Schizosaccharomyces pombe: one gene and its partners. The protein of the gene in region 1 binds, or shares a complex with, the protein of each later gene. Each region holds a gene or a part of one and is shown on either strand. Other genes may lie near its edges. The genes, in order: bet1, sft1, gos1 and sec20.

Region 1 (8,277 bases):
TTAATGTCAAATTACAGCATGTATTTCATTACGGACTCAATGAGGACAGTATATCATATTATCGACTAGATGTGGCCAAGAAAAGTGTTTACGCAGAGAGTGAATCAAAATTGCCGTTGAAAATGAAGAAAGGATATTCCGTTCACTTGAAGGATCAGTCTCGCGATGCGTTGACTGATTATAGATATAAGTCTATGAAAGGAATTTATTCTGAAGCGAATTCACCAGCTGATTTATGGGAACAGGAAGCAATCGTGATTCCTGATATTACTGATAAAGAAACGATTTACTCCCTTGGAAAGATGAGCTACAATGCTTACCAAAAAATTCCTTTCGACGGGGACTGGTTAGATTTAGGACCTGATTGGAATATAACTCCACCTGAAGGATTTGGTTGGGAGGAAGATGGTCTACGTGGACATGTTTTTTCCAATGATGACAATTCCACTATAATTATTGCGATGAAAGGTACGTCCATCTTCGGAATCGGACGCGGTACCTCGCAGAAGGATCGCGTTAATGACAATTTACTTTTTTCCTGTTGTTGCGCTCGTGTCAGCTGGGCTTGGTCTACGGTTTGTGGTTGCTATAAAAATACATACACCTGTAGTCAAACTTGCCTTGAGGATGAAGTGCAAGATGACTCAAGGTATTATTCTGCATCATTGGATATTTTTTATAGTGTTAAAGAATTATACCCTGATGCACAGATTTGGCTGACTGGACACTCATTAGGTGGCGCTACTGCCGCTTTAATGGGACTTTCTTTTGGAATTCCAACAGTCACTTTTGAAGCACCTGGTGATCGAATGGCTGCCCGACGTCTTCATCTTCCAATGCCTCCAGGATTACCGGACGAAGAAAGTTTAGTATGGCATTTTGGTCACAATGCTGATCCAATATATTTGGGCAAATGCACAGGTCCAACTTCATTATGCTGGGCCGGAGGTTATGCGATGGAATCAACTTGTCATACAGGACAGGAATGTTTATATGATGTTGTAAAGGACAAAGGGTGGCATCTTTCTATTACCCACCATCGTATGCAAACTGTTTTGAATGATGTTATAGATGCATACGAAAAATTACCAGATTGCTCACACACACCGAATTGTGTTGATTGTTACTTGTGGGAGTTTCCTGATGATGATAGTTGAAAGGAGTGGCTGTCCTTTGCTTCAACTTCTGATAATGTCCTTAAAACTTTAACGAACGCCAAACTTTTCAACCTTCACACTTTATTAGATTCGAGTATGCCTATTTTCTAGTATACCTATAATAAAACTTATTTTTAGCTTGCTTAAAATAAGTACCAGCAAGAAGAAGATGCTTTAGTCTTCGGTTTAAACAGTCGTTTGTGCTATGATAACTTAATGAAATATTGATACAAAGCAGTACTGACTATAAACTATCTACTTTTGGTAATAAAAAGTAAACGTGAATGCCAACCCTTGATGTTTTATTGAATAAATCACTAATAAAGTATTGTTCTAAAAACTATCTAATCCAAAAATTTAAGCTCATTGTAATAGCTATAGACATTGCTTTATTCGATTTGAATTTTAAATTATTATGTTCAAATTGAAATTTTTTAAGAAAAAGAAAGAGATGGTAGTTTTGAAGCGATATTTCTAGCCCACATGTACCAATTAAAATTATGCACAAATTCTGTAGCTATTATAACGGCCACTAGTTTCACTTCTTCTGACAATCTTCACAACTTCTCCCCTTTTTAAACCAAGATAACGAGCAACAGGATCAGCTAGTTGAATACGGGGTAATTGAGTTTCACGTAACTTGTAGCGGTCTAAAAGTTCTTTTTTCTCATCCGGTGAAAGAAGAATATGTTTAGGAACAAGCTCATGATGAGTAATGTTGACAATCAAATCGCTTTCTTGGAAAGTCTCAATGGTAAACTGGCCGGTGACAGTAGCAATGATTTTAGCGGCACTTGGGGTCATGGAATTGGCATAAATTAGAATACCAGTTTTATGATTATGATCACCTAAAGTATGAACAAAAGTTCTCATTTCTTTAATACCAACGGAGGGCTCTTTTGCAAATTCGATATAGATTGTGCCTTTATTTGAATCATTGGAAGGTTTTGCGTAAAAACTCAAAGTTGTACGACTAAACGCATTAGCAAAACAGTTTTTAAAAAAAAATTGATAAAGGAAGTTTAGAAGAAGCATGTTCATCAATTAGAAAGCAGATTAAGAGTAAACCGATTTATAAATACCGGCGTCTATGGACATATACGCAGATATCAACAGAATTTGCTTCTATAATCAATCGGATTGTTTAATCCATTATCACGATGGATTTAAATAAATGTACATACTCTAAATTACGACCCATGCCACAATGCATGGCCTTGAATTGATCCAACGTCAAATCTAATTCAGCTTGAGAAACGCCGTAACCCTAAGTTATAATAGTTGTTAATAATTCTAATATGTTTGAAGAAAAAAGATTATCAAATACATACCCTGTCATGGACTAATTGATGAGCTGTCTTCCAAGCACGAAACACCCTAACAATGTTTTTTTCTTCCGCAGACATTATGAAAAATTAATAAGAAACAAAAATAGAAAAACTGAGTTAAAAAATGAGAATTGATCTTCTAAAAGAGATGTTCCCAAAAAGAGGGAGTTACGGCAGAGCAGTGTGCAGAAGATAGCAAGAAAATTTTGGTGGTGAGTTCTAATAATTATTAAAGTATTCGTTAAGCATGTATAATGCGGTCAAATAGTGTAACAACGATTGGATTATTCTATTAAAAAAAAGGTAATTAGGAATTCAGGTTTGAGAATGTAATATCTAAATACTTAATTTGAACCTTGAACTATAGGAGGGATGACCTTGTTCCATTCATCATCCCAACGATATTCAGATTCCTTGAGAGCACCCAGTTTCAATGAATTTAATTCATTAGCATGAGTTAATAAATACTAAAACAGTTAGTTATCGTACGAAAAAGCCAATAAATTATGTAGGAATCGCTATTCAAGGTTTTTTTTGTAAAAAAATCTTTTTTCATACCTGCATTTTTTTCGATAGAGCTTTTGAATCGTTAACGATCAACCCGTTTTCGCCATCATGTACCAATTCAGAAATCGTTGGATAAGAAAGCGCAATAACAGGGACACCACAGCCAAACAAATCTACAACTTTCATAGGCAAGTCAAGTCCACTTGAACTAGTATGCAAGCATACACCAAGATCTGCGCAGGCCATAACCTGCGGATAATCTTCAATACTGAGCCAAGGCATGCAAAAACGAACTTTGTGTAATGGATGCTTCTTAATGTACTGAGAAAATTCTTCCTTCATCGGGCCTTTTCCAGTTATCAGCACCAAAAGCTTGGGCGTATCTAAAGTTTTGTCGTACTCATTAAGAGCCTCCCATAAAATGTAAATATCCTCGTCTGGTGTCCAAGAGGTAGAAGTAATTAAGAGCTTCGTAGAAGAAGGATTGTACTCACAAGGTATTTTTTTGATAGACATTTGCTTTTTCTGTTCATTTTTAATGGGAGTAAAGTGGTTGGGGGGTCTATCATAACATACATAGCAAGGACTTGAAAATGTTAGAGTTGAGCAAAAAGCAAATTTATACTTACTTCATTCCCCAAGTTTGTAAAACATCTTTCATCCGTTTAGAGACAGTCAAATGAGCATATGCTCCTCGGGCCATGTATTTCTCATAAATTTTAAGTAATTTAACAAAGGTATGCTGCTTCCCTAATTTCAACGCAAGTATTGAATATCCAAAGTTATGCCAATCTATGATAAATTTTGTACCACGTAGTATATGAAGACATTGAGCAATGAAGAAAACAGGGATGCAAGGAGGATTTTGAATGAACAGGAATGAAGCAGGTTTTCGAACAAAAAGAGCCCAGTTCAGTGCAAGAAATTGATGTAAAACCTTCAATGGTCCCAAAAACAAAAACTGAAGGCGGTTCTTAGGTTGAAGATACGCAGGAAGTGAAGGAATGGGATAAAAACGAATGTTTTCATGACTTTCGAAAAGTCCTACAGATGACCCGGGGTCTACGACAGTGTTAGTGACAACAAATACACCTAATGTGGTATAGATTAAAATATTCAAATATTTTAGATAACTTACGCTGATAGCCTAACAAATCAACCTTCCATCCAAGTTTAGCGAAGCTAACGGCATGATATTGCATTCTAGGGCTTCTTGCAATATCTCCTAGGACGAGAACAATAATTCTTTTCTTATCCGTCCTCTTTTTTAAATTAAACCATATCACCAAAGATAAAAATAAAACTATCTTCAATACTAGCATTTTGTACACAAACTCACGGTTACTGATCGAATTTCGAAACTTCCGCTTAAGAAAACTAGTTATTAAATACTGTTAGACATATAAAAAGCGAATATCTTCTTAAAACAACTTTCTATAGGTAGGTGTACAGCGCTGATGGTTTACGTAAATATTATTGTGCCCATAATACACTATTAAACAGCAACCTACCCAATATGTCGAAACTCGAAATAACATGCATTTAAAATACAAAGGAAAAGGAATAGAAGCATGATTGTACTCTTAAAGAAAAAAAAAAAATTTTATTTCAAGTATTGAAGTAAAAGAACACTAGACGCAGAAATAATGTAATAAGCAAATAAATTTAAGTAGTAAGATTCGTATCACATACTTAAACATTCCATACTTCAAGCTTGGGAATAGAAAATGCAAAAGACATGACCTGCATGCCGATAAACTTGAATAAAACTCAAATGTAATAGTTGCGTCAATTTACAAAAATGGTAAGACGACGAGTGAAGGGCTAGTATCATGAATAACAGATAGAAACTTATAATAACAGGATGTAATAAGTTAAAAACAAAGTCGTTAGGAAAACAAAAATTGAGGATTTGCGTTCCTATCGTGACAAACCACTTGTGTGGAAACACCAAAGGTGGATGAATGTTTTTTTTCTATCGATAATAAGTTTAAAATAATCAGAATGAAAATGTTAGAAGAAAAGAGAATGAAGAAACTTCAAGTATACAATTTTAACAGATTATACACGCCATAAAATGAATCATAAAAATGCTAACTCTAAAAAAGAGTAAAGGTAGTAAGCAAAATGCCTAAAATCTTACCAAAACGAGGATAAGCGCAACGAGGCAAAAGAAGGCGAGCCACATCCAAATTGAAATTCCTCCATTCTTCGAAACATTCTTTAATCGAGTCATTGTCCCGCTCAAAAGTGACTTGGTCGAGTCAAATGAGTCGTTCATTGACTCCATCAACTTAGTAGAAGACGTTATCTCAGTCCCAATATTCATAGTAAGCTATTAAAATTAGTTAGCATGTTTTTCCTGATGATGGCAAAAATCTTACCTCTTTCAAAGACTTGACTTTTCCAGTTAACTTTGAAATCCGTTCATCATTTTCATTTTCCAAGGAGTCTAAATGCTGAGGAGATTGAGACTCATACAAGGGCAACATATCGCCATTGCGTTCTTTTCTTCTACCGAATCTAATGATTAGTTAGACATTGATTGATCAGATTTAGTACATACCTTGATCCCATTCTGAAGCTTTTTTTAAAATCTTTCCCTTTACCGAATATGAAAAGTATTTGGTGTAGCGCAACTTCCAAATCCTAAGATCTCTTTGTTATGTATTGGTTTTGTGCGCAAAGTCAGCTCATCAAATAACATGCGACGCAACTCAGGAGTTGCGTGTAGAGGTAACACATTGTTGTACTAAGTGACAAATCTCATTTTGCTCTGTTTTTACATTAATCTAAACAATTTTTTTTTTACCGCAGACGAAACAGAGATGATAGTTATGGGTTTAGTAAAAATAAGTATAGATCCCTTCTTGAGCCTGTAGAATATTGAATTTGAGCATCAATTTTGAATGATTTTTCTTTGTGGTGCTGATCCATAATGTGTTACTGGGGCAACTGTAATGTAAACAAATCAACGTGCTTTGTTTACATTTGTAGAAGTGAAATACCGGTGGTTAAAATACCACAGAAAGCAATAGATATGATAATATGGCAAATCGATGGATATTTTTCTTTGCTACAGCCGAAATTAAATAGTATGTAAAACTTGATGATCCAGCGGTCAACTCCAACAGAGCTAATATTTTTTACGCTACTTGCCCATAATACAGTGTGAAAAATAGCGATCTATTTAATCGATGAAATTTATCATTTATTAATGAATTATTTCTTATGCAATTGATATTATATCTTTTATTGCAAAGGTAGGCAATAAAGACTGGTTTAGAGCCACGCAAATGATAGTGTAAAAAAAGAAACATGCTCCTTGTGTATATTACTTCTAGCAATGGAGGTACAAACTTTTCAGTTTTGAATAAAAACGGAATGTAAGAACCAATGGGGAACGAAAACAATAAAATAAAATTCTGGGAAGAAGAAATTTAGAAATGAATAGCACGACTGACTCAATTCTTTGGCAAGAACTTGACCGGAACGAGCTGAATATAAACAAACAGCACGATTTAAATTTTGTCCTCTAATTATGTCTTTTCAGTAAAGCATGTATGAGGTTTACACAATATGTCTATTTAAAAAGAAGGCATTAAAACTCAACTTCTAGGCAAAATGGAATAGCTCAAAACAATAGCTAAACCTCAAAGTGTATTAGTGTAGCAATCCGGCCATCCATAGACAAAAAAGAAAGCCAGGAATTATTAAAGATATTTGTGGAACTTTAAAACGTCAACAGATGGTTTGGAATTTAAGACTAAAAGACGTAGTGTAAGAGAGGAATTGATGAAAAGTAAAGTCAAAAAATCAAGGAGCTGGTTCTTCATCTAAAACACGCCTCAGTTGAGCACTGTATTGAGGTTGCAACGAAGATGGAATGTATTCATAATCTTTGTTGGGAACAGGAGAACGAAAGGAGAGAGGAAGAGGTGAGGGAGAAGCACATTGAACAATATTAGTGGAGAAAGATTGTGGAGTCTTTGGATTCCGCTCAGCAGGTAAGGGAATGGATGAATAATTAGGAGTAATGGGATTAACCGGTTGAGTTTGTGACACCATAGGAGATGTAACCTGTGGAGGTGCTGTAGCAGAAGCGGCGGCAGCAGCAGCAGCTCGCTTTTGCTAATAATAGTTAGTCAATCGAATTTTCAATCATTTGTTAAGGTTAAACTAACGTATCACCTTATCATTTTCTTTTCAAAACTTACGTATTTTAATATCATCCAGTCAAAAACATAGTCATACTGGTATCCTTTACGAATAAGTAAATCACGAAACAGCTTTCTCAAATAAGCATAGTTTGGCTTCTCGGTAAACGAAAGCTGACGAGTGTAACACATGTAAGTGATAAACTCTTCGGGAAGACCTTTGCAAAGGACTTCCAAAGGAGTGCCAATCTTGGTATCACGTATCCGTTGATACTTTTGCTCCTTTGTATCAGCTTGTAAGCCTTGCCAGGGCAAACTGCCGCGACAAAAATAAAGTAAAACATAACCTAACGATTCGAGGTCATCACGGCGAGATTGTTCAATACCAATATGGGTGTTAATACTAGCATATCGAGCCGTTCCCGTAAGATTCTTATTATCTCGATATGGAATATGAACATGAGTTTTAAAATCCCTGTATTTTTTCGCCAATCCGAAGTCAATCATCGTAACAACATTGCTGTGCTTCTTCATTAAAAAATTATCAGGCTTAATGTCTCGATGTAAGAATGACTTGGAGTGAACATATTCAATGCGACTGATGAGTTGATCAGCAAGTAAAAGAACCGTTTTAAGAGTAAACTTTCTTCCACAATAGCAGAATAAATCTTCCAGAGAAGGGCCTAATAAATCCATGACCATAGCATTATAACTATTGGTTACACCGAACCAGCGAATTGTGGGTATGCCAATATTTCCTTTAAGAATATTATACACACGAAACCTAAATGTTAGAAAGAAAAAAGAAAAATAACCAAATGGAGTAACTTTTGCTTTTCCTTTTTGGTTGTAAAACATCGAGCTACGGTTGATAGATATAAAGAAGAAATTGGAGTTCCGAAAGAAATCCAACTTATACTTAAGTAAAAAAATATTAAAGCACTACTTACTCATATTCTAACTGATGATGACGAGCCTTTAAAGGCTCCAATTTCACAGCAACTTGTTCTCCATTTACCGTATTTAATCCCAGGTAAATTTGACCAAAGGAGCCAGAACCAATTTTTCTACCTATACGATATTTATTACCAATCTTAATGTCAACAACCGTCATTTTGCTAAGATTCT
Region 2 (7,667 bases), 640 kb from region 1:
AACGTTATTGATTACAACCATTTTGGAATATAGGATGAAAGAGGATTGCTTTAATGACAAGATTTTGGTTAAAACAAATTCACGTTCGAAGATGAATGACCAAATCTCTCAAATGGAAGCTCAATGGGAGGATGTAGAAGTAATGAATAAAACCAAGAAATAAAAATAAAAATAAAAAATATTGGATTATCAAATAAGAAATTAATGAACTTATTTATATAGATGCTTAGTAGAAAAGAAAATCACGAACGAGGAGAGAAGAAAAATTGCATGCGACATTCAGTTTTGGACAACGACGATATTTGGAGCAATTGATTAGTTGAAATTAGCCACTTTTATAAGAATGAAGTGTGTTTCTTTTTTTTTTTTTAAATAAAAAGTAAGTAATTTTTACAGATCAGTAGAACTTTTTTGCTCAAACCTGATAGCAGTGTGATATACTTTCCGGATGAACTTAGGTTCACCAAATTACAACAAAATCGCCCAAAAAGCAGTTTTCAAATATTAATTAACTTAGGAAGCCAAATTTTCCTTTACTAGAAGTATATACAGTGTTCACAATGTTTTATACCAAAGCAGATTTGTTTGGTTGTCGGAAACTGGGTGTTGGCTTAACCACAGCGCAAGCTATGCCTTCCGACAATATGTACGAAGAAGCTGCTTTTTCTGAAGGCAGTAATGATACGTGACAAGTTTGCTTAAAGATTTAAACTAAAGGAAGATCAAACTATTAACAGTTTTAAGATGAAAATCGATTCTCAAGGGATTCGAAAATTTTTTTTTAAATTTATTGAATAAATAAATACATTTAAGAAGACGAGGGTATGACTTTGAAGCTTTTGAGCTGTAATTTGTAATTAAATATACATATTTTTTTCAATTTGTTTAAATTCGTTCATCATGTTAAGTCCTTTATACAGTTTATTTCTTTTATACTTCAAAAATTTATTTCCTAAATTTGATTTTGCCAATTGTGCAACTTTTTACATTACTGTTCGCGATGTAAACATTTAAGATTAAAATTTTTTTTAATTTTAATTTATACAAAGAAAATTTGCTTTAATGTCGCTATTCGAATTTATGAACAAATTTTTTCTCTTTACTTACAGATTATTTTTTGGTTTCCAACTTATACAATTTAGGTACTATTAAAAAATAAAAAATAAAGGATAAAGCTTTATTTAACACCTAGTAACTACGTTAGTACAACTTTCTTTCTTATTACATGCATACGTCTAATTATTTACCCAAACATTTGGTAACCTCCTAACCTGCCTTTGTGGAGAAGTGACTTGACTGCTTTGCTATACAAACTAGCGAAAGTATTACCTTTTTTAAAAATCATTAATGCTCCATTACGTTAATTCAGAGATAGTGTATAATTGTAGCATAACACTGGATCAGATTATTGTAGCAATACGTTAAGTGGGGGGATTGGATTCAGCAGTTGCATTTGATTAGAGGTTTGTAATCTGGGTTTAGTCTTAATTTCTTGTAATTATTCGATGGATACGTAACGATATTTGATATTATAGAAACATCTAAAATAATATTTTTTTTTAATAGCTCTACAAGTTGTGCAACATTTATAACAGAAGCAGGAAACACACTAGCAATGTAAAAAATAATAACAATGAGACGTCAATGATATCCACATCTATAATTCGTAATTGTTCAGAGGCACACTTATAAATTAAAATGAAAATAAACCATTCCTCGATATATATCAGAGTCTTGCGAATTGATTCCAAAAACGGTAATGCATTGTGAATTAAAAGTTTTGCTATAATGATGGAAAGTTCAATGAGGCTATAGAAAGCGAGTCACACTACACGAGATTCAAATAATAATACCAAAAAGGTGCTATTGACTATTAAGCGTGTCTCAGGATTACTGTCCTTTACTAATCATAAAGCTTATTAAATATTTGGTTAACACTCAAAACTCAAACTTTTAATGCTGTATTATTCTAGCCACTCATATTTGCTATATTGTATTTGTACAATGTGGGATACTTAATTTCAATTAAACTGAAGATTAAGTTGTGCTAATGTTTATAGAGTAGAGGGGTTAGTTAAGAAAGGAGTTTGTTATATATCGATGGTGAATGAGAGTCGATTGAAGGTATCAATAAACAGCAAAAAACTGAAAAATTCAAACGCATAGCACTTATTTTTACTATGTGATGTTTAAGAAAAAATGTAATGAAAAGTTTAAAGTGGGGAAAGAAGGTTCTTACCAATATTCTGCACATCTGTCTCTAGTAAAACCCAATAACGTACCTTGTCCACTGAATCAAGCTTGCCCGGGTATTTCGTTGCATAGCTATGAATGAGGGATACGAAAACAGTCCCGCTTAATATATAAAAAACACGACTATTTTAAAAATTTTATTTACTTCGTACAAACTAGTGAAACATCTAAAATTGTTTAAAATTTACACAATAGTGTGTATAACGAAACTAGCTAAACTTTGTTTATGTAATGTGAGAAAGTATGTAATACTATATTACAGCAGGTTGCTTATAAAAACGTCACCACACAACAGTCCTTTAACCTTCGCTTTGTCTACATTATTGAAGTTATAAACCCCAAGAAAAAGTATTTTTGCATTTTTGTATACACAAATCAAATTTTAAGGGAAATTTTTTAACACGGTACTTTTCGTTTTTTTGTCTAATTGTTTCAGGGTAGTACATTCTCAAATAATCCAAAGCCGGGGTCTTTTGGGTTGTAATAGTTATTTACATAAAATTGTTGACTAAATATTTCAGAGAGAATTCATTATTCTTACTTTTGAATCCCTTTTCAAATATAAAATTGGTTCCTTGTGTTAGAGATGAATATTCTCTCAAGGAAAGAAAATGTCGCTTCCTACTTCGATATTCGTGTAGCTGCAGAGCATGATCTTATCGTAATTCAAGGCCTAGCAGACTCGGCAGAACCGACACCACTGTCAGGATCTGTAGTTCTGTGTCTCAATGAAGCCATCAGTGTCAAAGCAATATCTCTAAAACTAGTGGGAAAATGTCGCATCTCCTGGTCAGAACCTTCTCCGACTGTAAGAGGCGGCCAAAGACACAATAAGCAAGAATATGTTGTTTACGAGAAAAACTGGATCTTCGTTCCTTATACGGGTGCCAACCGTACTTTACGTGCTGGAAACTACGAGTATCCGTTTCACGTAATGCTTCCCGGTGATATTGCTGAATCTGTCGAAGGTCTTCAAAGTTGCTATGTTGTTTATCGTCTTAAAGCAAGCATCGATAGAACGGGTTTAGCTAGCAAAATGGTGAAAAAGAAACACATCCGTCTTATTCGAGCATTGCCTGCGGATGCCATTGAATATACTCAAACCATTAGCGTTGATAATACTTGGCCAAACAAAATTGAGTATACCATCAGCGTTCCAACAAAAGCCTATGCAATTGGGTCATATATTCCCATTCATTTTGTATTAGTTCCGTTGCTGAAGAGGCTAACTATTGGAAAAATCAGTATAACCTTGAAAGAATACATCACGTTGCATGTCGCTCATGGATATAACGGTTTACCGGCATCGAAAGATGAAGTCAGGACCGTTCGTTCTCTTCAAACCGAAGAATTGGAGGAGTTTTCCGATCACTATGAACTTACAAAGAACTTGGAACTACCAAGTTCTCTTGTGGAATGTCTTCAGGATTGTGATTTGGATGGAATTAAAATACGTCACAAATTAAAGTTTTCCGTTTCCCTAAGAAATCCTGATGGCCATATATCAGAATTAAGAGCTGCATTACCTGTAGTCTTGATGATACCTCCTCAATTATTTGGCGATCGTGCCGAAGTAGAGTCGTTACGCGAGAATTTTGAAAGTTTTAATCAGCCTTTACCTAGCTATCAAAACAGCATGTATGATCGTCTTTACGATGGTTTGAGCTATTCCAACCTTGATACACCTCTCCCTAGTGGCGCAACTACACCAAGGCGACGCGATTCTATGGAGCCCACCTATGCTTCTAATGAAGCTCATAGGCGACAACTCATTGCTGGTTTGACAGAGTTGGCTCTACAACAACAACCGCAAGGAAGGAGCCCCAACGAACATTCACCGTCAAATCATCCTGAAGATTTCCCGCCTTCTTTCAGTTTAGGCTCTAATCCATCCAGTGGAGCTGCCTCTGCTGTAATTACTAGAAACCCTTCAGAAACTAGTTTGGCAGATCTGAGCAGAGTCCCTTCTTATAAGGAAGCAACAAGATCAGCCGTTCCATTAGAATCACCCTTACAATCAACATTACCTAGTTATGAAGATGTTGCACGAATTGAGCACCTTTCACGTCCTCCATCACCTGGTATCGTTACTCCACCACAACGTACATCTCCTTCATTTTTTGTTTCTCCAACTGAAAGTACACGACAATCCTTGGATAGTCGTAGGTCATTCGAACACTCCACATCTTCTTCTTCGGGTATAAGCCCATCTCACAGTAGTGCTTCTTTAGCTCATCTTTCTCAAGCCTCCAATCCAAATGGATCGTCTTCTGCCCCGCATAGGCCCACATCAGCTCGTGTAGGAAGTCACCGAAACGCACTAGACGCTTTAAGACGGGCGCGTATGCTTCCATCTGGATTTTCAAGAAGAAATTGAAGTTTTGAGCACTATTTTTAAATTTTTGCGCAAACATCGGAAAAAGAGTATTCATTACCTGTACTTCCGTACATTTGAATGCTGTGTTCTTAAAAAAGCCTAAATCAATACAAACATCTCATGGTCTGCATGCACAAAGCTTGAACGTGAAGCTAAGGTGTTAAAATTTTTATTATTATTTATTTTTGTGCCCTTCCTTTTGATCTTTTTTTTTTTTTTTTTGCCGGTTGAAGGTGAATGAATACTTAGTTTGTGGCACAATGTCATGATTCTATTCAATTAGTACTGCGTCTCTTTGCTTAAAACTCTTTCCTAAAAGTGAGGAATATCAAGCTTAATATGGATATACAGTCATAATTAAATTTTTTATTATTTTTACTTTTATGGTGGACTTATTGAAATTTCGAGGAAGGAGTAGTATTTCGTTAAGAATATTTCATGTAATTCTGCGCTTATATTTTCAAATTTATCTTCAGAATATTCATCGATAAATTTATTGCCTATAAGAATTCAAAGCTTGTACATTTTATAATTTTGAAGCAGGAGGTTATGTCATTATATCCGTTCCTTTATGTAGCATTCGCTTTCATGTCGTGTTAAAAAAACCATTTGGATGCATAGTAGATTATTAGTATACTCCCTACGATTGCCAGCACCATTGTCATGATTCTTCGTCGTCCGGCACTTCGAACCACACGGAAGAAATTTTCGGTGGATTTTTTAACAGAATTTGAAAGTCCTGAAAAGCTTTCAGTCTATAATAATACAGGTTAGGTAAAAACTCAAATTTTTTTTTTTAAATTACATACAGCCCGATCAATTCGAGTATAGTCATTGGCACGGGAATAAATATCGTAGGTTACGTTTTTCAAAGAAGAAACCTGCCCAGACAGAGTTTCCAAACGCCGCTCATTTTGATCATTCATTATAGAAATAACTTTTACAAAAATGAATGTACATACGTTAGCATCTTTCTATATCACTTGGAGTACTACCAAAATTTAACGACATTTAGGACGTGGTGATAAATCCTTTAACGAATCTCCTAACTTGATTCTATTTTCGTCGAGCTCAAACATAATGTTATCTACAATTCTTAGCATCAGCCGCCTAATTATTGCTTTATCAAATGCCAATATCGATCGGACTACTTATTAGTAGGTAAATGGTTTGGAAGTTCATCGTTTCCATCCATTTTTAATGAGCAGTAGGATCCGTTCTTTAACATCTGAGTTATTTGAGGAATTGCTATTCATCGCTAAGTCAAAACATATAATATATTTGTATAGGTACTCGCTACCAAAATATTTGGATCCATTACTGTTTCCTGTTTCCAAGTAAAAGGGTTTATTTATCCGCTGCGTTTTAGACTCAGGACACACTATCTTTCTGCAATACTTTTGAACCTGAATTCATTCAATAAATTGAATTCGACATCATATAATATAAATTTTTATTTTTTACGTTTGAATTGGATTTTTTGTTTATAATTGCATTGTTTTAAGAGATTAATAATTCATTTATTGTTCTCATGAGTGTTCGGAAACGGTACAAGGTTACTTATGTTCTTGATTCCTGTAACGATCAACTAGGGCACCGTTTGGATGCTAATTGTCTAGTGCTAGGTCGGTACTTTTCAGAACAAGGGTCAGCACCAGTTACTAGAGCACTTTACAGTGGTGGCCGAGATGGACAGCTTTTCGGTTGGGACATCGGGTATGATTATGGTAAAGCTTCCCAGCCCTTAGCCAAAATCCAGGCTCATTCTGCTTGGGTAAATGATATAGCTTTAACACATGATTCCGAAGGAGGTAAGCCTTTGAAAAATTTAATTATCTCTGGAGAATAGCGGTAGCCTTATAGAAATTGACGTTCTAACATTTATTAGTGATATCTTGTTCTTCTGATTCAACGGTGAAACTCTGGAAGCCACATGTCTTGAATGCTTCTTGTTTATCAACAATTGGCGAGCATACCGACTACGTAAAGCGCGTAAGCATTCCCAAATATTCCAAGAGTCCGTTAGTCGCTTCGGGTGGGTTGGATAAAAGGATAATTGTATGGGACTACAACGTAGGTCAAGAAGTTATGCGATTTGAACAGTTACCTGACTGTTCTCTTGTTGTTGGTCCAAGATCTGGTGTTTACTCGCTGGCAGCGAATAACAACATAATTGCTAACGGCGGACTACAAAAAGACATTCAGTTATGGGATTGTGTTTCCAAGAAAAGGATTACAGATTTAGTCGGTCATACTGACAATGTTCGAGATATTCTAATTAGTGATGATGGCAGAACAATTCTCACAGCCTCTTCAGACGCTACAATAAAGCTTTGGTCTCTAAGGGCGCAAAAATGTTTATTCTCTTTCATAGCTCATTCAGACAGTGTATGGGCATTATATTCTGAGCACCCAGATTTAAAAGTATTTTATGCTGGTGATCGCTCAGGCTTGATTACTCGTACTGATATAAGAAACCAGCCTAACAACCAAAGCTGTACTGCAATATGCAAGCAGGATGCTCCTGTCTCTGACATTGTTGCTCGTCAATCTTTCATATGGAGTACTAGTCGTGATGGCTCCATTCTTCGTTGGAAGGATGAGCCCCTCTTTAATCAGGACGTGGGAGCAGCATTATCTAAGCATACCTCATCTCATCTTTCTGTATCATCGGACTGTCCCTCGAGACATTCTTCTGACATACGAAATCATAGCTGTCCAACATTATATCACGACGATGCTGAGGATATATATTATGATTTGCATCATACTGAGAGCTATTCTAACATCAATTTAACCAAAACCCCTGATTATGTTATTCATGGTGGTATTGGTTTGTTAAAATATCGAATGTTGGGTGATCGAAGGCATGTCTTAACTGAAGACGCTGTCGGCAATAAATGTTTGTGGGATATACTTGCTTGTAAGCAAGCCGGGGAATTTGATAAGTCAGAAGATTTTGAAAAGATTGTTCAAAGTTTGGATACTGTTCAAGCAATACCTAGGTGGGCTTCTGTTAATTGCCTTTTGGGGATTC
Region 3 (9,164 bases), 270 kb from region 1:
TTTCTCCTAATTTTACGCTTTTGGTTTTCGCAAGGCAGCTCATACATACATCCGGATGAGCATTTACAATCGTTTCAAATATTCGCAAGTATATTACAATTCTTCAACAATTTATGACTAATATAAAGATAAATTATTTGGCTGGAAAGTGGAACTTCCATGGGAATTTACTACTAAAAAACCAATTCGGTCTGTAGTTCCTTTGAATGTGATGCTTTTACCTATTTTCTTGCTTTGCCGGTGTATTTGCAAATGTAAGTGTATTTTAAATTGAACGAAATTCTTACATATCCAAAAGCGAACTGCTCTCCGTATCCTATTTTGTTGTTCACTAGACTCTATATGTGTTTGATCTCTTTGTTAATAGGTATGTACATTGGCGAATATTAAGCTCTGATAAATTTGGAATTTATTTCAGAATTTACTACAAACCTTATTTCCTCCTTCCTTGACTAATTTTGGCAGATTTGAGTATTTGGAACATCGTACCTTTGAACGCAAGATGGAGTGCATTGCTTTTATATTCCTCATCCTTCATGGCTACTACATTTCAAACACATACTTTTACAAACTCAATTGAAACGATTTTCTTTTTTTTAACTATACTATTTCTTTCGAAGTTGAATAGTGTGGTAAGTTAATAGCTGGCAACTCTTAACTAACAAGAATCAGCCATTAAACAAGAAAATTAGTTATTTATATACATTTTTGCTTGCAATTGTTAGTGTATTAGGATTTTTCACAAGAATCACTTTTTTAGCTTTTGTGATCGCCCCCTATATCTATTTTTCTGTTCGATGTTTTAAAAAGAACGTGAACAATCCGAAAGAGTAAGTGATTTTGATTTTTAAATTGAATTAAAAATATATTATGGAATAAACACTAACTGGATTAGCATCTTTTTGCACTTATGTATTTTTGTTTCAGTTTCTTTTGCAACTGTCTTAGCATGCATCCTCGAGGACTACAAGTTTTATGGGGTGTTTGTGATAACATTTTGGAATAATTTAAAATACAATTCTCAAATCGAAAATTTGTCACAGCACGGATTGCACTCAAGATTAACACATTTTTTCACTAATATGCCACTCCTTTGTGGTCCTCTGATTTTTGTTCCAAAGCTTTGGGACGTTCGAAAACCTGCAACTTGGTTATGGCTTCTCCCCGTTTTCATACTATCCCTGTTTCCTCACCAAGAGCCCAGGTTTTTGCTACCCGCAGCCTCTATTTTTATAGTGAACTCTGGATGTCTAGTTCGTTCATATTGGATCAAATTTTTATTTGTAATGTATGCAGTTGTTTTGGCAGTTTTCTTCGGCATAATGCATCAAAATGGTGTTATCCCTGCGGTTTTGGAAGTAAAAAATATTATCGAACAGAGAAATGTAACAACCATGGAAAATTGTAATTTGTATTTTAATCCGGAAATGCCCACGACTATTTATTTTTGGAAGATTTATAGTGCTCCGACTTGGATGCTTGCTCGTCCAAAATTTAGCCAAATTAATACCTCTCATCTTTATAACTACTCCACAAAACAAATGATATCAAAATTTTGGGAGACTTACTATGAAGAGGTTAAAGTCGTCAATTTGCCTGAAGAAAACACAACCGAGTTTCAAGCATCCACTTTATTAGTGTGTCCTGTTGCTATGCTACAAACAAGCAGTTATCTTCAAAATTTGACTATGCTGCATTACATCCCTTATCACGTTGATTTAGATGACACTGATGAGTTACCCCTAGCAGAATTGATTATGAATCATGGAATTGGAATTTTCACCGCTAAGGAGATTTGTGAGAATAACACTATTACTAATGAGTTACCAACGGTATTGAGAAGTGTGGGATAGCAACATAAAAAAATCATTTTGCCTCGTTGTGTACTCTTAAGATTGAGATTCGCTCGTCATGCTACATTTTAATACTGCAGCAATTGCGATTAGAAGTTACCGTTTTCTTGAAATGTTTCGTATCCTTATTGTTAATCCTTCTTTATTGTTTTAAGGGTCAGAAAGTTCAATACTTAACTTTTATTAAGTAAACTGATCTAATTGTTAAATTCATTGGCATTTGTTTAATTTTTTTTCTAATATATTTGGGTTTTAATTTTAATTTATTTATGAAAAGCTGAGAGAATATTTAGTTCACTAAATCTTTCGCGGTTATTTAATCGCGAAGCTTGCATTCGTTCGATGAATGATGATTAATTGTTATATGTTGATTCTATTGATCATATTGTTGTCTATTTTCTTCAGCACAACACTGTTAATCGCCTGTTCCGATCCGATCTATGACAAAACTTAGCTGATTGAGTCTTCAACTTGTCATATTCAATTCTAACCAATTTTGTTAATAATAAAATAGTACTGACTCATCCCGATATGTTCAATGTGCTTATATCATACATAACATAACGTATTAACACAGATTGGGAGCCATTTGAATTCGTTTTACGCAAACAACGACTATATTAGCTTACATACGCCAATATACTAATACTAGTTCAACGATTTATTTGTTGACGGAGAATTATTGCGCACTTAGTTATTTTTTTGTATCACTAACTACTTTAGTAGGTTCACTTTCATAAGTGGTCAACCCCCCCACATAGTACTTGAGGTAGTAGACGAAGTCATAATTGCTATTCAAGTGAGTAATGTCTTAAAGAGAATATGGACCCCCCATTAGTACTTTCTAACCCACTTGGAAATTGAAATTGCTTTGATTTTTAAGCATTATGAATTAATATAATATTAATGCGTATTAGCTTATATAAACGATTACTAAATTATATTCTCATAGTTTTTCATGCATCTACATAAACAGTCGGCAGGGACGTAAAAAGCTACTCTTTTAACTATGATTTTGTATTGTAGTACATTAAGAAGGGTAAGTAAGGTCTTTATATTGTAATCTCTACGCCCTGGTTGACAGCTGTTTTAATAAGCTAGAATTTTTCGCTAAATGAGTTTGCTTTAAACATTGAATTAATTAGAAAGGTTTGTATTGTTCATTATCTCAGCATTCCATTTCCTATCCTTACATGCACGTTCAATGTAAGTTGAAAAGATAGTATTCAATGAAAGATTCGCAATCCAATGAAAAGCCAATTTTAGTCTTGAATTATATTACAATGAAATTAAAAGGAGAAAACCTTTATCGTAGATATATACTAATGTCCAAAAACAAATTAAAAAACCAAAATGAAAATTAAGATATGAATTTTTAACGTCAGAGTACTTCCACCTGTAACAACAGCTCCTTTCTGCTATACCTATCTATTGAAGTTTATAATAATAATTAAGTTCATCCTTGCGTTTCTTAAATCGCATAATAAATTAAAGATTATTTCCCCTTTAATCTACCTATAATTGGTAAACATGGCATATAATTATTTAAAAAATTTAGTCATTCCGAGGTTGATTGTTAAGCATCAGTTCAAGTTGCGTTCTTTTAGCACCAAAAGTCTCAATGATACAAAAGAAAAAGCCCCATCTGCTCTCATTCCAGTAGGTTTACTGGTAAAACCGACGATGCTTTCTGAAGTCCAAAAGCCAACATTATGGGAAAAACTTACCAAACCCGCGAGTACATCTTCTCCTGAGCAAAGACAGAAGGAGCTGCTGAATGAAATGAAGAGATCAACTATTCAAGATTTCAACGAAGTTCGTCGATTTAATGGTAAGCTGTTTTACAGTCCTCCAAGATTATTTAAGGAGAAGGTATGAACAATTGGTTAAAAGTAATATTCATTTCTGGAAATTTCAAATAAGAATGAAAAAAAATTAGTTTATTGCTTAAAAATATTGACACGTTTTAGAGCGCCTTATGGATGTACAACTTTCATGGGAAGTCATTACGAAATCAGTACAAAGAGCTATATAAAGATTGGCAAGGCTCGCCCTTTTTCTTTGCATTATTTAGCAACGCGTTTGGAGAAAACCAATGTAGGAATTGGATTCAACATCTAGCTCCATTTGATTATCTGCCAGTTCGTTATGCAAATGTTCAATCCAATCTAATAAAATATTGGCTACAGAAGATATTTATAGGAAAAGTTAAAAGATCAATACCAGAAAAGTGCTGGGTAAGTAGACGCATTATTTGTCCAAGCTGCTCACAAGTTTGTTCGCTTGATAAGATAGATTTATTTACTTCCAAAATTTATAACCTTTTGCTAACTAGCAGAATGAATATATTACAGCATACGACAATAAGTTCAGTTTCCCAGAAATAGGATGGAACAACAAACTTGTTGGAAATGTGTATTTAATTGACGATTCCTGCAAAATTCGCTGGCTTGGAACCGGTGATCCAACTAATGTCGAAATTGAAAACCTGAAGACAGCGATTAAGTTTTTGGTAAATAAAAACGTTGGTTAAAAGTAAAAGGACTTTTATATTATTTCATCTTAATTAAACCTTTATGACATATTCATAACTTTGGCGGGATCAATGCCCTTCATAAACGTTTCATAAAACATGCAACTTAATGAAAAAAAAGGAACAAAAGCATCAAGACAGATATGAGTAAAGCTAAAATGATAGAATCACGTCTTCGACGGATCGAGGTTTTCCTTAATATTTGATTAATAAAAGGGATTGACATGGCCGCCCCGTTTATGCGATTGGTCACATTTCCTAAGACGCTATTTTGGTAATCAAAGTCTTCCCTCGTAGCATAAGCTCTTTCAAGAAGCTCATTAGTGCCTCTAATAGAATTGTCTAAAGAGTTTGCCTCTTGCATTTCTAAAAAGTTTTGTGCATCTCGTAATTCTTCAGGAGATAGAACTTCCTGTTTCGCATCATATTTTTTCAAAACGCCATTAAGAAGTTGCTCATCTCGTTTTAGTCTTTCAAAATGTGATTTGATAGTAGCCATTGAATGCGAGTCATTTTCGTCAGCTGAAGAGTTGGCTTCTTCAAGAAGCTTCCTTCTTTCCTCTAGCAGAATTTTAGCTTGGTTAGGATCACTGTGCAACGATCTTTGGAACTGAGACGCTTTTTTCACCGAATCTCTCAAAAGCATAGACTTCATGGCTAAAGAGATCTTCAAATTTTTATAAGAGAAAAATTAGTAGCTTAAGTTATGATTTTAAAACAAACGTTTCTCTTCTGTTGATTAATGTGGCTTTCAGATGACGTTCTTACTAGTATGTAGTTTAGAGAAGTATCCCACTACGTAGAGATTCCTAAATATACCAGTGATAGAAAAGCTATGCTACTAGAAAACATTGTGATATTAAGATAGGATATTTTTCATTCAAAATGAATTTTAAGCATTAAATTAACTACGCAACCAACATTGCATTGTTATGGTAAATATCAAAATTATTTTGAAACATGAAGCTCGTGTCTCAACCAACTTTCAGTCGGTGACTAAACTGATGATTTTTTGTTTCACAAAAGATTTTAAAACTTTTTTATTAGAGAGCCAACGTTTCCCATCATTCGTCTCAAGCACAAAATTTAGTATTTCATTTTCATCATTGAGTTTGGGCATTTCAATCTTAAATCTCACCTTACCATTAATTTGGACAGGAATAGTAACGGGCTCCTCCATATTCTCCTTTTTATTTTTGGAAATGGGCCAGTTAGAGTAAACGGAAGAATTATGTCCTAGCAGCAACCAACACTCACTTGAAAAACAAGGTATTATTGGAGCAATACATTTCACAAGCACTTCCAAAGATGCTTTAATTGTTCCGATATTGACTTTGTTATTTTTTAAAGCATCTGCTATATTATTAGTCAATTTCATGGCGTCAGAAATTACTAAATTGAGAGAAAATACATTTTCATAATGAGCAGAACATTGTGAAATAAATTCATTATATTGTGATTCGAGTTTCCTGCTATTGTGATCGTCGACAATAGTTAACTTCGTTTGTCTCATCGCATCAGACATTTTTTTCTCACGTTCCAATAACTGATGAACACAATTCCATATTTTGGTTAACCACCGTTTTGTTCCCATTATTGCATTTTCATTCCAAAGGAGTACGCCTTCCACTGGAGCTGAAAATATTATGTAAGCTCTAATAATGTCTGAGCCATATTTTTGAATAGTACGTATCGGATCTACACCGTTATGCTTGCTTTTGCTCATTTTCTGGTAAGAAAGTTGAACTTTCTCTTTAGGATTACTGATTAGAAAATATTCGTCTCCAATTTTCTGGACTTCTTTTGGATTAAGTATTCGTTCATCCGACATCGTTGTATAAGTAAGACCATGAACCATCCCCTGAGTAATTAGTTGAGTAAATGGTTCATTTAAATATTTATCACCATTCCATAACCCAATATCCTTCATGAATTTTGAAAAAAACCTGGAATATAGAAGATGAAGTATTGAATGCTCAACGCCACCAATATAAATATCAACAGGCATCAAAGAGGACGCACTTGCTAAACCTACAGGAAGCTCCGAGTTTTTAGAATCCAAAAAACGAAAATAATACCATGATGAGTCTACAAATGTGTCCATAGTATCAGTTTCTCTTGTTGCTGGGCCATGACATTTCGGACAGGTTGTTTTCATCCATGTTTCTAGATTTGATAACGGCGAAGTACCTTTTTCATATATTTTATCAAGATCAGGCAACTTTACAGGAAGTTCAGATTCAGGGACTGGGACAGCACCACAGGTTTCGCAGTGAACCATTGGTATAGGAGTACCCCAAAATCTTTGTCTTGATATAAGCCAATCTTTGAGTCTATAATTTTTAACACGTTTGGCTAATTTCTTCTCTTCAAGGTAACTGACAATCTTTTGCTGAAGCATTTTTTGCTTGATATCCATTAAATTCGAAGAATCATGATGATTCAAAAGTTCTTTTCCCTCATTTGTAAAATATGAACCTATACAACTTTCTTTAGAAAATATTATGTTATTACGCTTAGCAAACTCAAAATCTCGGCGGTCGTGAATAGGTGCGCCCATAACGGCGCCAGTACCATAACAGTCCAAAACGTAAGGAGCATAAAATATTGGTAAAGCTTTGCCAGTTACTGGATTTTTTGCAAAGCACGGGAGCTGATATCCTTTGTCTAGTAAGGATTCATTGCGAAGATGTTCTGCCAACGAAGGATCCTTTTGGGATTCTAGTAAAACAAGTTTATGGTTTTTTGAAAGAGCTATAAAACTAACATCTATTATTGTTTCAGGTTTAGTAGTGAAAACTGTAAGAGTTTCTTTATCGTTTAGCAAAGGAAAAGATATTTCAAAACCCGTAGTTCGACCAATCCAATTGCGCTGCATCTTCTTTACTTTGTCAGGCCATTTTGGTAATGTTTCAAGGTCATCGAGCAGCTGATCTGAATAGTCTGAAATTTTTAGAAACCATTGTCGAAGATTTTTCTTTTCTACTATGGCACCGCTCCTCCAGGACCTCCCATGTGAATCAACTTGCTCGTTGGCAAGGACTGTGCAATCAACTGGATCCCAGTTTACAGTGGCCTCTGCTTGGTACGCCAATCCCTTATGAAACATTTGAAGGAAAAGATATTGTGACCATTTGTAATAATCTGGATTACAGGTTGAAATCTCTCGGTCCCAATCAAAATAAATATTCATATGGTAAGTTTGTTCTTTCATTTTTTTTATGTTCTCATACGTCCAAGAACTAGCTGATATCCCGTTCTCAATTGCAGCATTTTCAGCTGGTAAACCAAATGCATCCCAACCCATTGGATGAATGACTTTGTATCCTTTCATCCGATAATATCTCGATAGGATATCGGAAATAGTGTACACCCTAACATGTCCGATATGTAGTAAACCACTTGGATAAGGGAACATACTTAGTATATACTTCTTCTTTCCTTTGTCATTTTTGACGAACGGATAATGGGATTTCCAATATGACTTCCAATTTTCAGCAATTGCCAAGAAATCTGGATTGCTGTGTATGTTTTTATTAAATTTTAAAAAGTTGCATAACGAAGCTATTTTAGGTACTTTCCGACCATTAGTACCGACGGATTTCAACATTTCATGAAACGCAGTGGAAACAATGTCTTTAAACTCTTAAATATTTTAAACAGGTATCATTAAATCAATAAATACTTTAAATTATATTCATTTACCAAAATGTTTATCCAACGTTGGTGTTGTGTTTTTAGCGAATGCTACGATGGATGTTCTAATAAGAAACTAAACTTAAACGAGACGAAGGTTATTTCACGGTATAACAAAAATAAGGCATGCCATATGAAAAAAAAACATAGAAAAGGAATTTTTTAGTCGATGTCTTTACTTTTGAAAGATTCAAATACAGACATAGAGATCATGCCTGATGGCATAATATAACACATTCGCGTAAAAAGCCCACGAGTAAAGCCTTTAACTCCATGTTTTGAGAACAGAAGTTTGGCTATTTCCAAAATCCCCAGTTCCTTTTCAGCTTGGAGGCCGTATTCAGCTTTACGCATAGCTGATGAAGTAGCCACTTGGTATCGAGTTTTAACAATGTCAAGAGGGGTTGAGATAGTAGTAGCTACAACAGTACCTAAAGCTGAACATATTGGAGCAATTACTGAGATATCCCAATTGGATTGCTTTTGTAAGTACTTTTTCGATTCTTCATAGCATACCCACCAACTAACGGTGGTAGGCAGATAAATTGCGACTCCCTATAATTTAAGTTAGAAAGAGAATTAACAAAAGATTAATCAAAAATTTGATTAAGTCTATTTTTGTTTTTTAATTTCCCCCAAAGGCCGTAAAGCTTTAGATTGTTTAGATTCTCATTTAAAGAAAATTTAATAAATAAATAAAAAAGATTCACATACCATCCAATAGCCTCGATAAAACCCCTTTAAACCTTCTGACCGAGCAAGCGTGGATATTGTATTTATAACACTTCCTTTTTGAGATATCTGAGTTCGCGCCTTAATGACTTCCAGTGGAGTCCAAACAAAACTGCTGACTACTTCAGCTGTCATACCGCATATAGAGTATAAAATGGCACCTTCGCCGACGCTTGGTTTAAATCGTCGCTTTGCTTCAACATAAGTAGAAAGATAGAGACAAGTAGCCGGAGTAATTAAAGTCAAAGATATAGGTAACCCTCTGTAATAAGCCTTTAAAGGCATTGTCTTAAAAGAGAATTTTCCAATTGTTTGCTTATGAACAGTGATTGTATCAATTGGGTGACACA
Region 4 (8,242 bases), 3.1 Mb from region 1:
ATGACATCTCACCGATTCTATCGTACCCTTCGCTTTACTGTTGCAATAGCGATCAAGGTGAATTTTTACGTGAAACACAACAATACAAAAAATTGCAAAGAAAGATAGCAAGAATTAAAAATGTTCTCAAAAGGAACGAATTACAATATTCATTAGTACATTAGAAAACAAGCAAATAACACAATGATTTAACTTAAAGATGCAAAGACACGATTCAAATCGGCAATCAAGTCAGCAGCGTCTTCAATACCAATGGACAAGCGAACAAGTCTAGGATCAATCTTGGAATCCGTCATTCTTCGCCATTCAATCAAACTTTCCACACTACCCAACGAAGTAGCGTGATGGAAATATTTCAACTCGCAGCACAAATGCTTAGCAACTGTGTCAGATTTAAGTAGAACAGAAAAGCAAGATGCATGACCGCCAGTCAAATTTTTAGCGACAAATTCCTTGGTCTGCAAGGAGTTATGGTAAACCTCCAAAATCAGGCTACTATCAATTCCTAGGCTAGTAGCAAATTGCTCATCGGTAGCCAACTTGTTCAAATGTTGGGCAACCAAAAATCCGTTTTCACTGTGTTTTGCGATGCGAAGAGGAAAGGTACGAAGAGAGCGCAAGAGTAAGAATGCTTGCTGAGGATGTAAAATTGTGCCAAGATAAGCACGATCTGCTTTCAAATCAAGGATCTTGGATCTATCTTTCGAGGCTGTGACTCCAGCCAAAACATCGCTGTGGCCGGCTAGATATTTAGTCGCCGAGTGAACTACATAATCAGCACCTAAAACAAGTGCATCCTGGATAGGGGGTGGTGCAAAAGTAGAATCCACAACAAGTATGGCACCCTTCTTTTTTGCCAGTTCCTTGTAAAAAGGAATGTCAAAGGCAATACCTAAAGGATTCAAAGGAGTTTCCAACCATATAACATCACCTTCACCGATGGCATCGCATTTGCCATCAATAAATGAGGTTTCTAAACCGGTTAGACGATTGATGCGTGCAATAATTTGGATTGTGCCTGAATAACCACCGAAACCGGGTTTATGAACGGCGATGTGTTTGGGATTTAAATACGACAACAGTCCGTAAATAGCAGCCAAACCAGATGAGTAAACAACAGAAGGTGCACCAAGAACACTGCTCAACGAAGCTTCAGCTCGATCAACATTGTTGCCGCTGATACGGGCATAGTATGGAAAGTCTTCCTCCGCTAGTTTGGTGAAAGGCTGAAGAGTGTCAGGAGTACCGGGATAAGTATAAGTAGTAGAAATATGGATGGGAGGAGCCACATCATTTTCTAATGCATAAGCATCATCGGCATGCAGTACATTAGTACTTAATGTGGACTTGATGTCAGAGAGATCGAACGAAGGAGTGTGAGTCATGCTAAACTAAAGAAAAAAAAACAGAGATGAAATGCAGAAAGGTCACAACAAATGAATTTCGAGAAAACTAGTGTTTACACGTTTACGGAATTAATAATGTTTATATCTAATTGAATGCTCCTACACTAGTAATCACCAATCGACCAAAGAAATAAGTACGAGATCAAACGACAGATACCTAGTTATGATAATTCTTTTAAAGACTTATATCTCCGTTAACTAACGTAAAGAGTTTGGTTAAAGACAAGTTGTTGTGAGACATCGCGGGGCATGTGCCTTAATTTATATCGTTATGCTTACGTGCTTGTAAACACTATATTACGCATTTGAAGTAGAAAGCACACAAACAAATAGAACCAGGACACTGAATAATTAGAACGTTTGGTTAATGAATTTTTACATAAGCAGTTATTAGTTTTAAGTTTATAGGTTTAATGGAGTTTGCTATCCGATCTCAGATTCTAGGCGTTCGTACCGGACCCTAGAAAATATGCGACAGACTTAACAAGATGCGTTTCCCAATTAACAAGCGCTCTAGTTTTTATTAGGAATTCAAAGAATACTGCTCTTTTTGTACTGTGGTCAAACAAATGGTTTTGACAATCAAAGAGGCATATACAATAAGAATGATTTGAAATGCAGCTGCATGCCGACTGTCGCATATTTCGTGAGCAAGAACTCATTTTGTTTACGGAATGGCGTTTCCCATTGAGTTACAAATACTATAGCATTACTATCATCAGCAAACTTCTACGCCATTCAACGTTTTTATTTAAAGAGAACAACACGTAAATAAAAACCAATCGTATAAGATAAACATTAAAACATAAGAACTACTTTACAAAGACTTTTTCAAAATAAAATTGAGAAAAAGGGCGAAAAAATAATTTCTCGTATAGATACTTCGAGCTCGATGGGAACGAGCCTCAAAAAGCCTTGCTTTTAATCTCGCCTTTCTTTTTAATAAACAATGCATTTTCAAAATCTCACCGAAGAAACCAAAGAAACATAGAAAGAATAGGCCAGACAATTCGCTTGAAGAGAAGATAGACAACCACAAATATGAAGAACCCAAATCCCGAGACGACTAAAAAGTAATCACTTCGATCACTTAATTTGAGCGATTTGATTATCCGTTTACTTGTATATAAAACGTCCTCTACACCAAAATATTTCTCTTGTAGAGTTTCTAACAAGTTGGTACTCGAAGACAACTCCATTGCATTTTCGGCACTCATATCCACTGCCTGTACCATTTGTGCGTGAATATCACGCATAGCCGCCGTGACCTGACTGGCGCTTGTAAGATAAATATCATCAGATTGCCACGAACCAGAGTTATCCATTGAACGCTTTTGAAGAGAACCATCACTTGGTGAGGTAATTTCCTCTTCATCTACAATCTTACCTATTTCTTGTGCGATAGGCAACCATGGTTCACCACTAGCAATCTTATTCCGATATCTTCTGTTCAACCGAATGTATTCTTGTACAGCCTTTTCATATCGTAGAACTGAGTCTAGCTGAATGGATGAGTATTCAAGCTCTACCCTTGCAGTTTCCCATATTTTTCTAAACTCTCGAAAATGCCTTTTAATAACTTCAACGCTTTCTGACTGTTGTAATTCAACAACTTTTTCTTCTAGTGCATTCAGAACGTCGGCCATCGAATGCTATGTTCTCTGCTTTATTGAACAAGTTAAAGGAGAAATAGTATTATGAGATGCAAGAGGAAAGAACGATAAAGGTAAATGATGATGAGTGGGAAACGAATGATGGATGCACTAACAATATAGCACAGCTGAAGGTGAATATAAGACTATACATCGAAAGGTTCGGTATATAGAATAAGGAAAAGAAATCAAATGCGGAATTATAAATAACGAGAAATAAAGATGCTAAGAGAGAGAAAGAGACAATAAAGATAGAAGGCAATAAGGTGAAATAAATTAGAAAGTGTAAATGGTAAAGGGAATATTGTATCGATCTTTAATAAAAAGTCGAAAACCACAGAAATGTTACTATGCACGCAACTGTAGAATGAAGCAACCTTTCATTCTAGTTCAAACGACGCTAGACACAAGTCGGTGTCTTTTTTGTTCAAAAATATTATACATATTCTGGGGTGAAAAGAAAAAATTTGATAAACTTCCATTTGCTTTATGATTGTTCATTAGCCAAAGGATGTTCAACGATTTCACCAACTTTTGCCTTATAACCCACAGGCAACGCTTGCAGGAGTAAGCGTACATCTTCAATTTTTTTGTTTTCCAACTCTTTACGAAATGCTTCATCTTGACGAGGATCGAGATGTTGTTTCATAGCTTCGCGAGCATCTTCACGTATCCATAATGGTTCGTCGCTCAACTCAACCATATATTGACAACTTTTTAGAAAGCAATCCTTCGAGCAATAATAGTTGAGTCCACCGTAGACCTTCATTCCTGAATCTTCTAATTTATACCTAGTTTGCTGCTTAGGTTCATAAGGACAAACGGGATAACCGCACAGATTGACGAGTTTACGCTCCTTCACCACTTGATCGTAATCACTTTTTCGAAGGTATTTACGAGCTTCCTCTAAAGTTTCTAGGGAAACCGGATCAACCAGCTTTTCAATCCATTCGAGGGCAAAAAAATCATACTGAAGTCGACTGCGTGCTTCATCTATAAGACTCTTCGACCACGTGATCAATTGCTTTTCTTGAGTGCTTTGAGCATTTTTCGGCTTTTTGAGAATTGATTTTTTGTTCATATCTGAATTGGATATATTGGAGTCAGCTGGAAAACAGAAGGTCTTAAAAATCGCTATTAGGCAGATATGAGTCAGTCAAGCATTGGAAGGAGGAATGAGCATCGTAAAAATACTTTAGCGCCGTGCAATTTTTGTTAAAGAGTTCTTGAGTTACGCAATTCATTTACAGCGAACTAAGACAGTGCGTTGGCCTTGGTACTAAAAATTTTGATAGAAATTACCCTCTCAGTTGAGTGTGGACAAAGGAAAAAAAATAAAGAAAAGCATGCGTTGCACCAATCATGTAAAGAAAGTTTTGTAGGTCTCTTTAAGAAAATCATTTTACCGTTAAAAATAATAATGATAAATTTACATCCACCCTATTCATATCTTCCACTAGTAAATAACTGGTCCTTAATCTTAATGATTCATATCCATATCCATACCATACCCCACACCCACACAGTAATCGTAAATATAGCAAACCAACGATGCTGTGGCTTCGTTTTAGGATTGCTAGTGTATCCTTATGTAAAATAGGAAACCAGATCCAATTGCGTAAATATTATTATAACGTTAAATAACAAAAACCAATCAACATTGATAAGCAAAATAATACCCAATAATCTTACAGTGCATTACGCTACCTTTGGCTAGTCGAACGAATCACTGTCAACAAGATGTTACGATTGGAAGGGAATTCCCCAGATCCTTTCCCCACAATGTTCATTCATTGAAAATCGTCTCACATGTAGTCAGTCGCTTCTTCACGTGCGATATTATCATTTGGGTGTTTATTGCTGTTAAGATTGACCAAACTTCTTTGTCTGCACAAATCGCGTGCCCTTTAGGAACCAAAATGACAGTGTACTGGCTTAGATATCCTAATAGAAGAGATTAACGATGACGTTCAGCTTCGCTATCATTTGTATATATTTTTAGTGGTAAAATAAATCGGCGGAGCCTTCATCTTTGGTATCTTGTTTTCTCTTTTTTTGGCTTTTTGTATATCTGTGTTTTAGGAAAAAAGAATCAGTGTATTGTATATTGAATGGTACCATTCTTTTTATACTGGTTCATTGTTTATCTGATCTCTCTTTGTACTTAAAAAAAGTATTAGCGGATCGCAGGCTCCACGATGAGCTCGTTTCCCACAAGAGTGGTTGCACTCTATCCTTATAGAAGCAGCTTCTCCGATGACTTGGAATTTGATCCAGGCCAAGTTATCGACGTCGTCAGTAATCTGGACGGCGACTGGTATACCGGAACATATGTGGACTCGGACGGTAACAGGAAAATTGGCTCCTTTCCAAAGGACTTTACCGAGCCAGCAGAGGATGCTGTGTTTGTAGAACGTGCTAGCGAAATGGCTCTTCATCAACCTACGCCAACTAGTGCTGTTCATTCTCGCAACTCTTCCTTAGGTTATGCTCCTTCTATTACACGTAGCATCAAGTCGATTTCCAACAATACAGAGCATCTTGGTGCCGATACAGAATCATATCTTTCAGCTAATGACTTTATTGACAGTACAAGTGAAGCACTTACGAAGATAGTTGATGTGGATACATTGAGTGCGCCATTCGGTAACGACAGCAACTCGCGTCCACATTCTTTAAAAAATGTGGAAAAATTGCATACATTCTCAGCTCCATATACCATATCTGAAGAGACGCCATCTTGCTCCACTGAGAACGACTCGCTACCACTTACCGCTACTCACACTATTACTGGTGGTGAGGATGCTGCTACCGGTGCTGCTGTAACCAACACCACCACTACCCACATTACTACTTCCACCAACACGTCTACCGTCATCCCCTCTAACCCAAATTCAGTTTTTCTTGTCGATTGTACTCATTCACAGTGCCCAACTGATTTACCAAACATCGCAACTACCCAACACTCTTTAAGGTATCTTGATAACGCATCTGCATCCGCAATAACCGTTTTGGAACGCACTCATCCCGCAGCTTCTTCCACCATGGCTACTGAGTCCTCCCATCAATCTCCGTCTGCGGACTCACAGGCAGAAGAATTATCAAAGAGCCAGCGAGTTGCAAAGGATGACGATCCTTTTGTTGTTTCCAATACTGCGAATTCCGATGAGCCAGCTTCAAGCTCAAAGCCCGCTAAACCCCTTACTGATTTGAATCGAGCCTTTTCTCAGCGCCTTAACTTGGATCCTCAAAAGCCCGGTAAATCACAGGGCGAAATCAGTGAGCAGGAGGAAGATGAATATGACGATGCTGAGTCAGATGAGATGCACAGTCCCTATAGCACTCACGAACCCGAATCTGAACCTGAAGACCAGGATGAACCATCGGAAAAGGATGATGAGAATAAAGATGTAGAGGAAGAACAAGAACAAGAGCAGGAGGAAGAACAAATTGATCCCGAAGAAGCTAAACGAATTGCCCTACGCGAACGAATGGCAAAAATGAGTGGAGGTATTGGTATGCATGTTTTTGGATTGCCTGGTCTAGCTGCACCTATTGGACGGAAAAACACTTTGAGGAGAACTCCTGCCAAATCCTCCGAGGAAGCAAAGAGCACCACTAATGACTCTTCTCCACCAAAAGACTCTTCTTCCACTTCTACTCAACCTACTGAACAATCGAATGCTCAGCAGGCTCCGTCACCGAAGGAGGAGGAGCGTCCACTTCCTTCCGAACCTTCTCAAAACCAACCAGCAGAATACCGTGATACTCCTGATACCCCCCGGAATATAATGCCTTTACCAGGCCTTATGTCTGCCGACCAACCAATAAAGGTCACTGAGCCTTCCAACGATGCAGATAAAGCTATTGTTGCTGAGGGTCCCAATAATGAGGAAGAGACTAAGGGACCAGTAATCCCAGAAACTCAGGAAACTTCCGAACAGCAAGTTCATAAAACTCCTTCTCCGGAGAAGCAAAAAGTGCTTTCTCCTCCTCCAATTATTACTAACTTTGATAAGGAAACACTTGCCTCTAATGAAGCACACGAAGCGGTACCCCAAAAGCCTTCTGCTCCACAAGTCACTCGTCTCATGGCTCCACAAGATAGCTCTTCAGTGGTAACTCCTTCCCCAACTTCTTTGCTGGATCCTGCTCGTGCTGTTCGTAAAGTAATTGATGGAATTGATCCCCCGAAAGAAGCTGGTGCCGGTGCTACAGCTGATGTAGAATCGGCTGCTAACTCACCAATTACGCCTCCTCGCACCTGGCATTCGCCCGATTTTACCTCCAAGTCGTTTGAACCCATAGAGCGCAAACTTCCCAGTCGCATTTCTGAGGTCACTGAGGACAGTATTGACGAGGATAAGCAGAATGAAGTTGACCCTTCCACCAGTGCGCGTGCTCTTCCTCCGCCTGGCTTACGGTTTGGTAAAGTCGACACTTTAGCCAGTCTTGCACATGATGATTTAGATGATTTACCAGCAGTTCCACGTATATTTAGCCCACCTCCTTTGCCAAAGACGCCCTCTGGCGAATTTGGAGATAATGAATTTATGTTCCCAAAAAAGTCAAATCGTGTTCGTGGTCACCAGTCCAGACCTTCAACTGGTTCCCAACTTCGAAATGTTGTTCCTGTTTCTATTGTAACTTCTGGTGGTCGCCCCGCTTTACCCGACGAAATGGCCTCGCCTAGCTCTTCTATCGGTCATCCTTTACCATCTCCTCCTCCAGCGGATTTTAATAGTTTAAATGTGGATTTTTACGAACCTCATAGCTATCTTGAATCTCCTGCTCCCGAACCTCAACCTTCTTATGAGGAAGAAAGTTTTAATGCTACGGTAATACATGCTCCAACTCCTAGTACTGCTACTTTTCAAGGTCATCCTACCATATCAAATGTTGCTACTCCACCTTTGAAGCAAGATGTTACCGAAAGCAAAGCTTCTCCTGTTGCTGATGCCTCAGCAACACATCAATCTAGTACAGGGTTAACTCAAGAAATTACTCAATTAGGCTCAAATATGAGATTACCCACCAAGTTGACACGTCCATCAAACGATGGACGCAAAGCTTCTGGACCAAGGCCTGCTGCTCCTCCCTCTATTCCTCCACCTTTACCAGTAAGCAATATACTATCTTCGCCGACTTCTGAACCTCCAAAGGATCATCCACCCTCGGCGCCTT

The links.
Region 2: bet1 (region 1) and sft1 share a complex: the UniProt entries of both Schizosaccharomyces pombe proteins name them as parts of the SNARE complex.
Region 3: bet1 (region 1) and gos1 share a complex: the UniProt entries of both Schizosaccharomyces pombe proteins name them as parts of the SNARE complex.
Region 4: bet1 (region 1) and sec20 share a complex: the UniProt entries of both Schizosaccharomyces pombe proteins name them as parts of the SNARE complex.

What each region holds. Positions count from the first base shown.
Region 1 is NC_003424.3:1,049,021-1,057,297, reverse strand, and holds bet1 (SNARE protein Bet1), read right to left. Parts: upstream 5,630-8,277; 5' UTR 5,570-5,629; coding exon 5,559-5,569; exon of another isoform or gene 5,516-5,558; coding exon 5,377-5,515; exon of another isoform or gene 5,328-5,376; coding exon 5,124-5,327; 3' UTR 4,574-5,123; downstream 1-4,573. Other genes in the region: autophagy-associated lipase Atg15, read left to right, coding at 1-1,157; DNA-directed RNA polymerase subunit Rpb5, read right to left, coding at 1,656-2,130, 2,342-2,424, 2,489-2,563; mannosyltransferase complex subunit Alg1, read right to left, coding at 2,830-2,952, 3,044-3,578, 3,622-4,054, 4,131-4,314; serine/threonine protein kinase (CK1 family) Hhp2, read right to left, coding at 6,809-7,123, 7,210-7,933, 8,100-8,263. UniProt on the Schizosaccharomyces pombe protein: SNARE required for targeting and fusion of ER-derived transport vesicles with the Golgi complex.
Region 2 is NC_003424.3:409,245-416,911, forward strand, and holds sft1 (SNARE protein Sft1), read right to left. Parts: upstream 5,596-7,667; 5' UTR 5,557-5,595; coding exon 5,440-5,556; intron 5,386-5,439; coding exon 5,227-5,385; 3' UTR 5,001-5,226; downstream 1-5,000. Other genes in the region: Cu-sensing transcription factor Cuf1, read right to left, coding at 1-21; rod1 (arrestin/PY protein 1), read left to right, coding at 2,840-4,630; bun107 (WD repeat-containing protein), read left to right, coding at 6,162-6,441, 6,519-7,667. UniProt on the Schizosaccharomyces pombe protein: Vesicle SNARE required for retrograde transport within the Golgi complex.
Region 3 is NC_003424.3:777,364-786,527, reverse strand, and holds gos1 (SNARE protein Gos1), read right to left. Parts: upstream 5,168-9,164; 5' UTR 5,042-5,167; coding exon 4,493-5,041; 3' UTR 4,387-4,492; coding exon of another isoform or gene 4,192-4,386; 3' UTR 4,091-4,191; coding exon of another isoform or gene 3,824-4,090; 3' UTR 3,726-3,823; coding exon of another isoform or gene 3,384-3,725; 3' UTR 3,109-3,383; downstream 1-3,108. Other genes in the region: smp3 (alpha-1,2-mannosyltransferase), read left to right, coding at 1-88, 129-254, 299-367, 466-632, 673-830, 896-1,853; atp10 (F1-F0 ATPase assembly protein), read left to right, coding at 3,384-3,725, 3,824-4,090, 4,192-4,386; SPOM_SPAC4G8.09 (leucine--tRNA (Leu) ligase), read right to left, coding at 5,372-7,996; SPOM_SPAC4G8.08 (mitochondrial iron ion transporter), read right to left, coding at 8,245-8,637, 8,797-9,164. UniProt on the Schizosaccharomyces pombe protein: Nonessential SNARE involved in retrograde transport within the Golgi complex.
Region 4 is NC_003424.3:4,101,571-4,109,812, forward strand, and holds sec20 (SNARE protein Sec20), read right to left. Parts: upstream 3,149-8,242; 5' UTR 3,053-3,148; coding exon 2,372-3,052; 3' UTR 2,163-2,371; downstream 1-2,162. Other genes in the region: SPOM_SPAC23A1.14C (cystathionine gamma-synthase-like protein), read right to left, coding at 189-1,385; RNA polymerase II CTD phosphatase Rtr1, read right to left, coding at 3,546-4,139; bbc1 (SH3 domain-containing protein), read left to right, coding at 5,257-8,242. UniProt on the Schizosaccharomyces pombe protein: SNARE required for targeting and fusion of Golgi-derived retrograde transport vesicles with the ER.